Elephas maximus indicus: one gene and its partner. The protein of the gene in region 1 purifies or fractionates together with the protein of each later gene. This does not show direct contact. Links are inferred from orthologs where the notes say so. Each region holds a gene or a part of one and is shown on either strand. Other genes may lie near its edges.

What was found. Proteins that work in one complex are often made in the same cells at the same time.
Region 2: the proteins of DNAJA1 (region 1) and ENDOG purify together in Homo sapiens (affinity purification with mass spectrometry; 3 studies listed by BioGRID and IntAct, counting the BioPlex papers as one, with this or other methods). This does not show direct contact. The link is inferred for Elephas maximus indicus from reciprocal best matches to the Homo sapiens genes DNAJA1 and ENDOG.

The regions. Positions count from the first base shown.
Region 1 is NC_064827.1:42,214,797-42,221,890, reverse strand, and holds the start of DNAJA1 (dnaJ homolog subfamily A member 1), read right to left. Parts: upstream 3,016-7,094; 5' UTR 2,845-3,015; intron 1,738-2,844; 5' UTR 1,728-1,737; coding exon 1,596-1,727; intron 1,240-1,595; coding exon 1,062-1,239; intron 1-1,061.
Region 2 is NC_064827.1:79,804,765-79,812,630, reverse strand, and holds the start of ENDOG (endonuclease G, mitochondrial), read right to left. Parts: upstream 3,003-7,866; 5' UTR 2,775-3,002; coding exon 2,268-2,774; intron 618-2,267; coding exon 508-617; intron 1-507. UniProt on the Homo sapiens protein: Endonuclease that preferentially catalyzes the cleavage of double-stranded 5-hydroxymethylcytosine (5hmC)-modified DNA.

The DNA of each region.
Region 1 (7,094 bases):
GTAGTCTTTCCATCAAGGACTTTATCCACCAAACAGTACTTCCTTATACCTAACTGAAAGTTTTCCAACTCCTTTCTGCACCTGTAAACACTTTTAGTTTCCAATGAAATGCTACATGGCATTTACTATACACCCTTCTGTTCTTAGCTCCAACTTTGGAATATCATAAACACAACCCTATGTAAATGGTTTTAGCATGATGAAAACTGCCCTGCTCACTTTATACAGAGTCTAGAGTACAAGAAAATAAAGTTTCTGGATCTTAATGAAGCATGTATTTTCTGGTCCAATTGGTCTCATGCCAAAAAGCAACCTCTCGTTGATTTAATCCACACAAAAAATTTGCCAGTGATAGCTATTAGGTCAATCCCTTATTTAAAAAAGTAAAACAAAACAACTTCTTAAAAAGCTCAGAGTGAAATTTAACGACTTGCCCATTTGTTCTAAAGTTGGCCTCTACTCATTAGCCCTTGTTTGTATAAAACATACAGGAAATAAGGTGAGACTGTCTTCTCTTGACCAGAACACTGTACTGAACAATATTTCTACAGCCTGCAGACTACGTTTCTGCTAAATAAAAATTCATGTATTTTGATAAAATAAAGCTGAATCAAGATTACAGCTAACAAGCTATGTGAAGACAATGAACCTGTGTTCTGATTCTGGCTCTACAGTGGACTGGCTGTATGACCCTCATAAAATTTACTTCAGATCACCTTTGACTGAAGAGGCTACTTACTGTATTTAACACTGGGTCGCTATGAGCCTGGTATCTATAAAAAACACTTTGAAAATTATGTTGCTGTTATTTTGTTTCTTTAGTGTTTGATTAATCATAGTACATGCAAGACCTTTACGAATAATCTGTTACCGCTTAATTGGTTTAGCAAATTTTTTTTTTTTAGCATATTGTTACATCAAACCTCAATCTAAACTACACCATAAATTAAGTACCCAACATTATACCAACATAAACATGCATTTAAAACTTATGGTTGCTCAACAATCTGTTTTGACCAATGGCTACTTTAATTTGCTGCATGTGGACTAGGTTGTCTTACCTCTCCTTTCTCTCTGCATCCTTCCACCACCTCCAAAAAACATATCAAAGATGTCCATGGGGGAGCCAAAACCACCACCTGCTCCACCCTCTTTGATGGCCTGCTCTCCTCCTTTGTCATACAATTCTCTTTTCTTTGTATCAGAAAGCACTTCATAAGCTTGAGAAATTTGTTTGAACTGTTTGAGAAAAAAAAAAAAGAATAAATTTCATTTTTTAAAACAAAACTTACAAAGCACAGCCATTATGTTGTTATGCTGTCAAGTTGATTCCAATTCATAGCAACCTGCTCCATAGTTTCCTAAGCTGTAATCTTTCTTTATGGTAGCAGATTGCCAGATCTCTTCTCCCATGCAGCCTCTGGTGGGTGTTGGGTTTGAACTGTTGACCTTTTGGTTAGCACCACAGCGCTTAACCATATCATGCCAGGGCTCCTTTTGCCATTATGTCAGATACACTCAATTTCACGTGGTACTATAAAAACTAGACACCTGGGAAAGAACTATTCAGATACTTTTAAGGACGTACTACTTGCCTTCTCGCCTTCATTTGGATTTTTATCAGGGTGGTACTTCAAGGCCAGTTTCCTATAAGCTTTTTTCAACTCTTCCTGGGTGGCATTGGGCTTGACCCCCAAAACATCATAGTAAGTGGTTTCTTTCACCATTTTCTACAGCCTGAAATAAGAAAATGCCATTTTAACCGACTTTCAAATTGTAGTTTTAATTAGTAAAGTCAGAGTTAAGACAAAAGTTGAGTCCTTCGCCAAATCTGATTAGAGGAATACCACCTCACTATCTAAACTTCACCGTAAAAGTAACAATTTCTGGGATAACTCAGCCACAAATTCTAGTAGACTAAACATAAAACAGTAATTACCAACGAATAACTCAAGGGCTCCTTGTAGCAGTTGGCTTCCACTCTCCCACACTAAAGTATCCGAACTAACACATTATTACCTGGGTTGCTTGTTTCCCCCTCCCAAAGGTGGTGACAGCCAGCCACAATAAAAAGAAGCATAGTAGGTTCGGTCCGTGGATTCTCACGTTTTACCGTCTTTGGTAAGTCTAATAACGCCATATACTCCCCAGAAAAAAGACGTTTGGGCACAATTGGGGATAGGGGGAATTGGTTTACAGAAATAATCAGAAACACCAGATCCAGAGAAACAGCTCCCCTCCCCCAAGTCCTTAGAGATGTTTCTCAATCACAGGGTTTACACTCCTCCGCTTTAACCGTCCAACCCCCTCTCCCCATAAGGCAGGGTACTTTACATCTCGTCAGGTTCTCCCCTGCATTTGGCGCCGACCGTTAAGGTTTCCTTCCTTTCTCCCGCCCACCACGGATCGAAGGGGTGGAGAGCGAAGCCCAGCCCTCAACAAAGAGAGGGTGGGGAGAAAGAAACGAAAGCCGCAGGCTCCTCCCGCAGCCCCTCGACTCCCTGCCTCCCTCTGCGCGTGCGCGCGAGGCCGCCCACCCCGAGAAAGTACGGTACGGGGGGGTCGGGGGCGCGGACAGAGGGGCAGGAAGGCGGCGCCTCCTCTGGGTCCACAGACTGGATGAGGAGTGGGAGAGTTCAAGGTCTCGGGCCCATTCACTGCGAGCCGGAGATTCATTGCCGAGTCACACACCAGCCCTCCAGACTGAGAATCGTGGATATGGGTACCGACAACCCTCTCGCCCACGCGGAGCCAACCGCCTCCCGCCCGCGACTCCATCCGGAATCCCGGCGCCACCAATGGCGCCAGGCGGAGACAAGGGGAAGCGCGAGGACTGAAACTCACAGTTGAGCGGACCGAGGCTGGTGTGGGGGAGCGGGACGGAGCGCGTAGCTGTACGCAGTTCGGGAGTCGCCACCCCTCCACCTCTCACCGAGCGTTCTGGAAAGTTCCCCTCGGAGCGCCGCAGCCGTCGTCTTTTGTAGCCGAGCCGCGGCGCGTCACTCGCCGGAAGTCCCGCCCCTCTTGGCCGCTGCCACCTCCCCGCAGTTACCTGGGCAACGGCGCGGGGGCGCTCGGGGTGGGAGGCGCTGTGCCGAAAGGCCTTGTGGGGGGGTGGGCGTAAGCCTGGGTTCTTGAAGCTCATGGAACCTTCTGGAGCCCCTTTCCTTTACCCGGCGGGCCCGGGATGCGGAAGTCTCGGGCGGAAGCAGGGATTATTCAGTTTGCTCTGCAATTCCGAGGCAACTCGGAGAATTCAAATGGGTGAAGTGGACGCCGCCGCTCGTAGGGTTAGGGAGAGCTTGGAGCAGGGCCCCTGGCGAATGCGGTCTGCTGAACGGAAACCTTTCAGAACAAAGCCCTGCAGCCCCTCCTCTCTGCATTCGCCTCATTTGCGTCTTTCGGCGTCTTCAAGCGGTTTAGTTCCTCAGCCCTGAGGTTATGGGAACATGCCGAGCAAGAAATGCTGAGCAAGGCGGGCCTGGCCTTCAGACCAGTGTCAGAGGCCTTGGGTCTTGCTGTATTTCACGCAGAATACAAAAAAAAAAAAACCCAAGCCCACTGCTGTTGAGTCAATTCCAACTCATAGCAACCCTATAGGACAGAGTAGAACTAACCGATACAGTTCCCAAGGAGCGCCTGGCAGATTTGAACTGCTAACCTCTTAGTAGCTGTAGCACTTAACCACTACTCCACCAGGGTTTCCATACAGGATCTTGTAATTCACCAAATGGGAGGTTGAAAGAGCTCTTTGTGCAAGTCCAGGTCCCAGCCTTGGGCCATGCTGTTTCCTACACATGGAGCTCAGGGGATTGTGCAAATAAATAGGGAAACGTTTAGGATGTCTTGGCGCAAGCTGAGAGCCTTGAGCCCTTCTCTGGCCAGGCTTTCACCTGGTTTGGCTAGCTGGGGACGCAGTACCATCGAGAGTGGCTAAATGTAAAAAGTTGTTCTAATGACTTTATCTGAATTTCAGGTTCTGTTAGTATGTGAACCTGGATCTACAGTCTATAAAGTGAGCTCATGCGCTTTCAAATTTTGGGACGAGGGCATAATGGAAAATAGGGGCCTGGGTTATTCAGTTACATAAACAAACATATGGTGAATATCTAGCACCGGAGAAGCTGAAAATGGAAAGGTGGAAAAGCCTGGTCCACGACACTTAGTCTTTAGTGAGGGAGCCGGAGAAGTCATTGAACTATAACAGCAAGAGGCAGGTCAGCAGGGGAGGAGGGGTCTATATTAGACTGATGGAGTAGGGAAAACGTCCCCGGGAAAGTGACAGTTGAGCTGAGTTTTGAAGAAGGGAGGAGAATATTCCCAGCAAAGGACAAAGCACAAAGGCAGGCCTTGAGATGTGTGGAAGAAGTGTGTCTTTTGGAAACTGCGAGTAATTGGATATAGCCAGAGCTAATGGGCTGGAGTAGCTGGAGGTGAGGCTTCAGAGCAAGTTGGGAAACATCTTCCACGCTAGGTGTTATCTTTTTGAACTTTACCCTGGAAGCATGTCCCTGCTTACCTCATCATTCTCTGTTTATTTAAACTGCACACCAGTCACCAGAGCTGTCAGGTTCCAAATGCACTGTTTCACTTCTGTGTACTGTTTGCTCTCCCTGAACAGCAGCTAATTTTCTGGTCTTAGATGTTGCTTTCTGAATTATCATCTATGGTGTATAGTTTTTTTCTTCAAACCAACACTAAAAATCTAATATTGCCAGGTAATGTGCTGTTGGAGCCCTGGTGGCACAGTGGTTAAGAGCTTGCTGATAACCAAAAGGTCGCCAGTTCGAATCCACCACGTGCTCCTTGGAAACCCTATGGGGCAGTTCTACTCTGCCCTATAGGGTCAGTATGAGTCAGAATTGCCTCAATGGCAGTGAGTTTGGATTTTTTTTGGTTAGGGTGCTGTTGTTGGGTGCTGTCCAGAAAATTCCGACTCAGCAACCCCATGTGACAGAGTGGAACTGCTCTATAGGACTTTCTTGGCTGTAATCTTTTCAGAAGCATATCGCTAGGTTTTTCTCTCGTGGAGCCACTGGGTGTTTTACAACTGCCAACCTTTTAGTTAGCAGCTGAGTGCTTAAATGTGGCACCCCCAGGGCTCCTTGGGAGTGTGCTAGGGCCTGATGATAAAACAATTATCTAAGTCATGGTCCCTGCCCTCAAGGAGCTCACCACATAGTAAGGGAACTAGAGACATAAAAAAGTTCGCCCCAGACCTGTTAGCCCAAGACTGGAACCATTCCCAAAACCAAGTCTTCAGATGTCGTGGATTGAATTATGTCCCCCCAAAAATGTGTGCATCTACTTGGTTAGGCCATGATTCCCAGTATTGTGTGGTTGTCCTCCATTTTGTGATTGTAACTTTATGTTGAGAGGATTAGGGTGGGATTGTAACACCACCCATACTCAAGTCACCTCTCTGATCCAAGGTAAAGGGAGTTTGCCTAGGGTGTGGCCTGCACCACCTTTTATCTCTCAAGAGATGAAAAGGAAGCAAGCAGAGAGTTGGGGACCTCATACCACCAAGAAAGCAGGGAGCAGAGTGCATCCTTTGGACCCAGGGTCACTGCACCTGAGAATCTACTTGACCAAGGGAATATTGAGGACAAGGACCTTCCTCCAGAGCCGAAAGAACCTTCCCCTGGAGCCGACGCCCTGAATTTGGACTTATAACCTACTAAAAAAAAAAAAAACGAAACAAACAAACCCAGTGCTGTGGAGTCGATTCCGACTCATAGTGACCCTATAGGACAGAGTAGAATTGCCCCATAGAGTTTCCAAGGAGCGTCTGGCGGATATAACCTACCAGACTTTGAGAAAATAAATTTTGTTAAAGCCACCCAGTTGTGGTATTTCTGTTATGGAAGCACTAAATGACTAAGACATTAAACAGGGATTGGACTGGACTATAACATAGAAAATGATACTGGTGAGGAGAGAGCTTTTTGGCTCAAGTAGACACATGAGACTATGTGGGCATCTCCTGCTTGGAGGGGAGGTGAGTGGGCTGAGGGGAAACCAAGTTGGCTGAATTGCCAGAGGGAATACAGGGTGGAGAGAGGGAGTGTGCTGTCTGATTCGGGGGAGAGCAGCTAGGAGCACATAACCCACTGACCCACTGCCATCAAGTTGATTCCGAGTCATAGCAACCCTATAGGACAGAGTAGAACTGCACTATAGAGTTTCCAAGGAGCACCTGGCGGATTCGAACTGCCAGCCTCTTGGTTCACAGCTGTAGCATTTAACCACTACACCACCAGGGTTTCCAGGAGTACATAGCAAGGTGTATATAAATTTTTGTGTAAGAGACTGACTTGATTTGTAAACTTTCACTTAAAGCACTATTAAAAAAAAAGAGTACAAAAAAAAAAGTTCAGTGTGATAACTGCTAGTAAAGGGAGCGTATTGGACTGCTGAGTAGGAGAGCCATACAACATACAGATGGGTTTACCGGGCAGACCAGCAAGTGTGAAGGCATGAAATAGGCATAAACAATAAAAACAGTAGATAATAGTGTTCATGTGTTATAGAACAATTGTCTAAAAGTTCCTACCTTACTGTAACATGAATTTATGTATTTGTGAACCTAACATTGATTAAGCACATGAAATAAGAATCGTATGATGTCTTGGTAGAAGTACAGCCAGAATGCTCTTTAGAAATGAGAATGGCGAGACCTCATCTCACGAAGTTTGGACATGCTATCAGAAGGAATCAGTCCCTGGAGAAGGACATCATGCTTGGTAGAGGGTCAGCCTAAAAGAAGAAGACCCTCAACAAGATGATTGACACAGTGGCTGCAACAGTGGGCTCAAACATAGCAACAATTGTGAGGTTGACACAGGACTGGGCAGTATTTTGTTCTGTTGTACATAGGGTTGTTATGAGTTGGAATTGACTTGATGGTACTAACAACAACAACAATGATGTATGTCAAATCACTTCACCCAAGAGTTTCTACAATAAATATTACCATGTTTAGTGTTTCTTTCTGCTTCAGGGACCCAACAGAAATTTCCACAATTTTGAGAACAATGCAAGTGTGATGCAAATATGAAGATAACCTCTTGAGACCACCAAAATAAAGAAGA
Region 2 (7,866 bases), about 38 Mb from region 1:
TAAGTGATTGAGTCTGTGGACGTCAGAGCCAGCTGCGCACAACCTGTTAACCTCACGCATCCCGGTCCTCAGGGGGCCAGGAAAATCACTGAGTGTACAGAGCCTCAGTCCCACCTGGGAGGCAGGGCTGCAAAGGGACAAGAGTAAGGCTTTTGGTCAGGCAGATCTGAGTTCAAACCGGAAGAGTGCTCCAAGAAGAAGAGAGGCTGAAAGCAAGAGCTTGGTACATTCGGGGACCTGCAAGTTTTCTATCTGGGCAGAATAGGTGTGGCCAGAAGAGCAAGGGTGTCCTTGGGCAGAGGTACCCAAAAGGTCTCTGGCTGTAGAATTGGGGGGTGGGGGCGTCGTGAGGCAGGGAGACAGGTATGCCTGTCAAGAAACCAGATGAGTAGTGACCTGATAGTGTTGACCCAGAGCCTGGGGCAAGCCTGAATGGGGTAAGTGGCAGGAGGAGACGCACGTGAATGTGAGGCCCTGCTATTCCCAAACCCTCAGTTCCAGCCTCACCTGGGCAGGAAGAGCGGCCCCGTGCAGACATAGACATTTTGGTAGCTACGCGTCAAGCTGCGGCTGTACTTCTCCAGGTTGTTCCAGGCATTCTGGTTGAGGTGGGGCACCTGGGAGGAGAGGTGGTGCTCAGTGAGACCCAGGAAGAGACTTCCTCCCGTTCTTGCAAGGGCTGCCCTGAGGATGTGGACACTGGCACCAAGCCAGGAATATCTAGCTGGGGGCAAGCAAGAGGAGGAAAGTGAGGCTGAAGGAGTCACTCCATCACACGTGGCCATGAGGACAGAGCCTGGGTAGGGCTGATGGGGTGCTAACAGGGCTTTGAACTGGTTAGAACCAGGTCAGTCATGGCCAAGGAACCTAAACCCAAACAGACCCCAATTTTAAAAAATTTGGGTGGTCCAGAACCATTACTGGAATGGGAAAAATTGCAGGTCAAAGCCCTGGAATGGAAGACTCAGAAGAGGAGTAGTGAGCCCTTTCCAGAGCCTGATGGGTGAGACTGGATTATTGCCAGGATTGAGGACAGTGACACATTCAAAGTGGTGCTGTTGGCTGCCATCTTTGAGCAGGGCACCGCTATTTCCAACTCTGCACAAATTCGCAAAATCCAACAGTAAAAGATTTGGTTGCTATGCAATGGGTACGCTGCCCTTGTTTTCTAAAGGGAGATTTACATTTCTGGCAGGTCTTCCACCTATGATTTTTCCCATTATGGTTATGGGGTTACGGTTTGCCCAAATTTTAGAAATTTGGTTCTGTCCTGGTGTTGCTTCCTCAGCCATGATTGAATGAGGGAAGAACCTGTCTGAAGCCCTGGGTGCTAGTCACCCTCACTCCATCTAGGACAGGAGAACCAGCACCCCAGGTCTCAAAGCCTTTTCTCCAAAGAGTTGCAAGAAGCAATAGGGCACATTTTCTCTCACTTTCAGAGAGAGAAACTGAGGCCTGGTCCCTGGAGGGGCTCTTGAGAAGGCCAGTTCTCCATAATTACCTCTTCTCTCCTTTCCCCAATCAAACTACATTCACGGCCCAGCTGGGAACTTTAAACAATCTGCTACTGACTCTATCACTTTAGCTCTCCAGACCTCAGTACAATGTCTAGTCCAACGGGTAGGGGCTGTGCCAGTAGGAAAGGATAAGAAGTCAGGTCACTGGCTCGACCCCTACAACTTCGGAGTCCCCATCATTCTGCATCCACTGGGTGCCTGGTCCTGCTGGGCATGGGGCCAATGGTAGGACAGCTTGTCAAGGGTGCACTGGGATTGGTACAGCCTGATAGTGTGCAGCAGGCAAGGTAGGGCAGTGGCTGAAAACTCAGGCTCCTGTAGACAGACTGCCTGGGTTCTCTCCCTGAGGCCCACTGACGCTGAGCTAGTCGCTGTACCTCTCTGAGCCTCAGTGCCCCCGTTATAGCAATAACTAACATATTTATTGAATGCTTGCCCGAGCCAGGAAGTGTGCTCAGTACTTTCACATGCATTGTGTCGTTAGTACTTCGGCTCTACATTTTACACCCGAGAAAACTGAAACTCAGGCAGGCGTCTAGGGCCCGCGGTGAGTCAAAGCCCTAGTACGACTGCAGAGCCGGAGCTCGGAGCCCCGACACGCTCAGTGTCCCCAGTACTCCGAACCTTCCTCACTGCGCGCCTGACCTAGAACGCGCGCTCAGCAGCTACCCACTCTGCAGATGGGCAAACCAAGACTCAGAGAGGCGAGGCGGCTGGCCCCGCGTCCCACAGCCTGTGCGCGGGCACTACCTGGGGCGCGACGTTGCTCAGGTAGAAGGTGTCGTCCATGGCCTTCTGGCTCCAGCGGTGGTTGGCGGCGGCAGCGAGGTGGCCGCGGTCGAAGCCGCTGCCGCGATAGTCGGCATTGGTGGCTCGATGGTACGCGTGCACCGAGTCGTCCTCGCGGAAGTCGCACGAGCGGCGGTCGCCGTCGCCGCGGAGCCGCTCGGGCCGCAGCTGCTCTACCACCCAGAGAGCGCTACGGGTGCGAGGGTCGTAGCACAGCACGTACGACTCGCGGCTCTTGAGCTGCGCCAGCCCGGGCAGCCCGTACTTGGCCAGCCCTCCGGGGCCGCTGCCCGCCGGTCCCCTAGGCAAGGCGGGGAGCTCGGCCGCCGCCGCCACGGGCAGCACGGGCAGCCGGCCCAGGAGCCCCGGCGCCGCCCGCGCATCTGCCCTCCGCCGCCGCCAGCCCTCTGCGGCTGCGCCCAGCCCCGCGCCGAGCGCCAGGGTCAGGCCGGCCCTCAGAGCCCGCATGGCGGAGGACCGAGACCGGGGAGAAGCGACGGAACGCGGCCTGAGGGGTCGAGGGAGCGCGGCGACCTTGGGCGCCGGACTCGCAGGCTCTTAAAATGGCTGCTGCGGCTTGCGGGGTCCACCGTAAGAATAGGGGCTGATGGGGCGCGGGACAATTACAGTGTTTTAGGACATTCCATTCCCTGCCGTTCAGAAGGGTTAGTGCTAACAACCCAGTGCCCAGTCACACACACACACACACAAAACAAGACCCAGTGCCGTCGCAGAGGGCAGTAAAACGGGCTCCCGTCGCCCTTTCTTTGCCCTTTTAAGACACGGGCGTGAGGGGCGAGGCACCAGCACCTCAGGCCACTATTGGCCTCCGTCAGGCTCAGCTCCGCCCTGCCTCCGCCCCCTGGTCTCCACGGAGGGACTCCGCGCTTGTGGGAGAAACTCGTATGTAAGGAGCCCTAAGAAGTGTCAAGCTTTGGTCTAAACTTCGTTTAATCTTCCAGAGTCCCGAGAGGGACTTCCTAGTTGGCAGAACAAGGAAAAGACTACAGGTCTGTCGGACACCAGAGCGAGCCCATTCTCCTAACAATTACAGCATAAAATAAGCTAAAAGTCCCACATGATTGGCAAAGATTTCCTTAATAAACACCCAGCGCTCAGAACAATGATGCAGGCAATTGATGCTATCAAACTACTGGTTGAAATGGAAACCGATAAAACTATTACTGAAAGCAGTTTAGCAGTATGTGTGGTGCTGTTAATTACGTAATACGGCCCTTCTAGCCAAAGCCTTTGTGACTTCCATACAATGATTGTGTAGGACCATGCAAACAGGTGTATGGAAACTGTGATGGTTAAGGTCATCCATCAACTTGGCTGGGCCATGCTTTTCAGTGGTTTGGCAGTTCTGTAATGATGAAGCTGTCCTCCATTTTGTGAGCTGATGTACAATATCCTCCATTTTGTGATGTGTTGTAAATACTAACCGCTATGCCTCTGGTTATGGTCCCATTTGGGAGTGAGTTGTCCATTATGTTAATGAGGCAGGATTAGGGTGGGATGTATCTTGAGTAACCACCTTACTGGAGGGTGTGACTCAAGTCAACACCCTTATTGAAGTCATGTCCTTGAGTCACACCTTTTATCTTACAAGAGATAAAAGGGGAGAGACCCTAACATGGCAGAGGGGAGGGGGCTCACTACCAAGAAGGAATAGCTAGGAGTGGAGCACGTCCTTTGGACCCAGGATCCCTGCACTGAGAACCTCCTAGACCCAGGAGACAAGAAAGCTGTTAACACTAGAGACTGTGAGAACCAGCAGCAGGCAGAGGCAACAGAACAGGAGACCAGGAGACAGCACAGTGGGCTTCCCTAGCCCACAGAACAAGAAAGCTGAGAGCCTTCCCCCTTGTTAAGTTAGAGAAGGTCAGATGCCCTCACCACCACACCATTCTTACAGGATGAAAAGCCTTACCTTTCAATCTTTACTGGACTTAAGTAGGGAAATAATCAGAAATGCAAGGACTTCAAAAACAAATATTCATTACATTATGTAAAAATAAGGGCTGGGATAAGCAATGTAACAGAAATAGGAACTAATTAGACATTTTTAGCATGCTAGATAACATACCTGATATACTATCCATTGACTACACAAAGGCATTCCATTGACTATGCAAAGGCATTCTGCTGTATGGATCATATCAAATTATGGATAACATTGTGCAGAATGGGAATTCCAAAACACTTGTGCTCATATGGAACCTGTACATAGACCAAGAGGCAGTAGTTCAAATGGAACAAGGGGATACTGTGTGGTTTAAAATCAGGAAAGGTGTGCATCAGGGTTGTATCCTTTCACCATATTCAATCTGTATGCTGAGCAAATAATCCAATAAACTGGACTATATGAAGAACGAGGCATCAGAATTGGAGGAAGACTCATTAACAACCTGCAGTGTTACAACCATGCTTGCTGAAAGCAGAGGACTTGAAGCACTTACTGGTGAAAATCAAAGACTACACCCTCCAGTGTGTATTACACCTCGACATATAGAAAATAAAAATCCTTACAACTGGACAAATAACCAACATTATGACAGAGAAAATACTGAAGTTGTCAAGGATTTTTTTACTTGGATCTACAATCAATGCCCATGGAAGCAGCAGTCAAATCAAACAACATATTGCATTGGGCAAATCTGCTGCAAGACTTCTTTAAAGTGTTGAAAAGCAAAGATGTCCCTTTGAGGACTATGGTGCACCTGACCCAAGCCATGGTGTTTTCAATCGCCTCATATGCATGAGAAAACTGGACAATAAGGAAGACAGAAAAAAAATTGATGTCTTTGAACTATGGTGCTGGTGAAGAATACTCAATGTACCATGGATTGCCAGAAGAACAAACAAATCTGTCTTCGAGGAAGTACAGCCAGAATGCTCCTTTAGAAGCAAGCATTGCAAGCCTTCGTTTCACGTACTTTGGACATGTTATGAGGAAGGACCAGTTCCTGGAGAAGAATATCATGCTTGGTAAAGTAGAGGGTCAGCGAAAGATGAAGACCCTCAAAGAGATGGATTGACACAGTAGCTGCAACAATGGGCTCAAGCATGACAATTGTGAAGATGCCACAGGATCAGGCAGTATTTTGTTCTGTTGTATGCAGGGTTGCTATGAGTCAGAACCAACTCGATGGCACCTAACAATAGTATATAGTATTCATAAAAATTTTTTCATCATAAAACTTACTCTAATATATAAAACTATCAAGAAAATAATTATGTAATAAAAATTGCATTTGCTTAAAAAGACTAACATGCTGTCATTGATTTTGTGGGATTATGGGTAACTTGTTTTATTTACATGTTTTTCAGTTTTCAAAATTTTTTAAATCTAAAAAATAACTTACTGTGTAACCATGTACGTTACACATCCTCTCCCAGTCCACACTCCCACCAGCTATAACTTGCTGTGGTTGAATGAGGTCTGCACAATCTCTTACGACAAGACTTCCTGGCCTTTCTTAGACTGCTCAAGGAAGACTTCTAACTCCGTCCCTGTTTAGACTTTGTTCCCTGCTCCCAGAGACCTCTCTGAGGTTTCAGCCCATTATAGCACCAATGCAAAGAACACATGATTTCTTAAAGACAATTTATCAACAGCATTGATCCAAGGAACAAAACAGATTAAAAAAAAAAAGCAGACTAACATTCTGACCCTCTGGAGTGAAGCCCGCTGAATTCATACAGCCCAATGTGTGTAAGTGTCCCAAGTCCTGAGGGCAGCTTCTCAAGGAGGAAGCCTTGGGCACTCTGGCTCTCTAAGGAGCTCCCTTGAGAGTCTGGGGAGAGGAAATCACCAAGGGAAGGTCTTTTCCTAGGCAGTATCCCACTGTGGAGCTCAACCTAACCAGGTCATAGTCCCTTTGATCTTGACCTTCACCTCAAGGTCAAGAAGAGGGCACTGGAGCCAGGTCTACCACTTAGGCAAATTAGATGGAGTGACTCAGGTAGTATGGCCCCAAATAGAAGGGCAGGTGGGCAGGCAACAGGGAATGCATCAGATATCCTGGGCAGTATCTGTTGAGTCCCAGGCCATGAGGGGGTTGGGGCTGAACCACCCACTGACAAGTCCTAAGAAGAGGGTATTCCAGGCTGGTGGGAAGCAGTGTGTGCCCTGTCCAAGGGGCCCTGGAGTCTGGCAAGGATACTAGCTCTCTTGTCTCCCTTCCATTCAGCTCCAGTACAGCTCCCTCCCAGCCAGGACCTGGTAAAACCAGGAAGGTCTGAAAGGCAGGGGAAGAGAATGCTGGCTCTGACCCTGGGTCACCAGGAGGACCACGTCTCTAACTCATTTCCACCTTCATGCCGCATCCACCATCCCCAAACCAAGCACTTGCCAATCTGCAATAAATAACTAGGAGTCTGAATAAATAGTAAAGTCTTCCAAATACTGTGTGTTGGGAGGAAGCAAAAAGGCAAGTGCATCAAGTCCCAGAAGAGTCCAAGGTATAGCCTGGGAAAGGAGTCACCTAGGGAAGCGGTTTCTTGCCTACGGCTGGGCTTGGGTGGCCAGCAAGAAGTCCTGCTGCTAGAGTCAGGAGGCTTTGGGGCCAACAGGGTTCCTGGGGCCCTGCTCCTGTGGGCCAGTCTGGGGAGAGGCTGAGGACCCTTGCTACCCAGGCTTCCAGACCCACACTACCTGCTTCCTTACATAAGAAGGTTCGGGGGTTGTCTGAACAGTCTTACCACTCTCACAGCCCAACACTGGGAGTAGTTAGCTGCCTCTGCTTAGAGTACATGCCCCAAGACCTGGGGACAGCACAAGCAGGTGACCAGAGAAGGGCCAGCACCTCCTCCCACCTGCTTGGGAGGTGCAGGGGCATGCAAAGGTGCTGACACAGACTCTCCTGACAGGATCCAGGGCCTCTGAGCTCATTTATGCCTGGCCCCAGGTAGGCACCATCTGGGCTAGAACCTGGAAGCCAAGGGAATGTCAACTCTTCAGAAGCACTTGGATCCAAAACCCTGGAATAGAATTTTCTTAGCAACCTTTTCCCTTGGAACACAAACCACCCTAGAGAGGGAAGAGCCTTTGGGAGAACTTCTGGAAAGATACAGGTCTCCCTCTTCATTATTTCTCAGCAGCTTTTGGTTTCCAAGTTTTTGTCATAGGGGGCAGGTTGAGTGGCCTCTAGTGAGGCACTGTGAACTCCCTCCCAGACTGGGGAACCCAGGAGCCTGGGACTCGGGGGTGGGAACAGGATGCAAAGGCCGGGGTTGACGTCCAGGGGCTATGCTGGGCCAGGATCCTTTCTGTCTCCTGGGTTCATGGGAGTTGGGGAGGGGTCAGGAGGGAAAGAGGTCAGGGATAAGGCACCCCAAGAGAAAAAAGGCAGAAGGAGAGCAATGGAGAGAGGAACATCCGGAGTGAGAATGTCACACCCACCCTCTGTGAAGAAGTGAGGGGAGAAGAGAGGGAGCCAGAGGGAGAGAGACAGGGACAGAGAACAGAGAGACCTAGAAGGATTGAAAGATACCCTTACACTAATCCTCAAAGACACAGAAAAAAAGCAGACATACCTGGGAGACTCAGAGACAC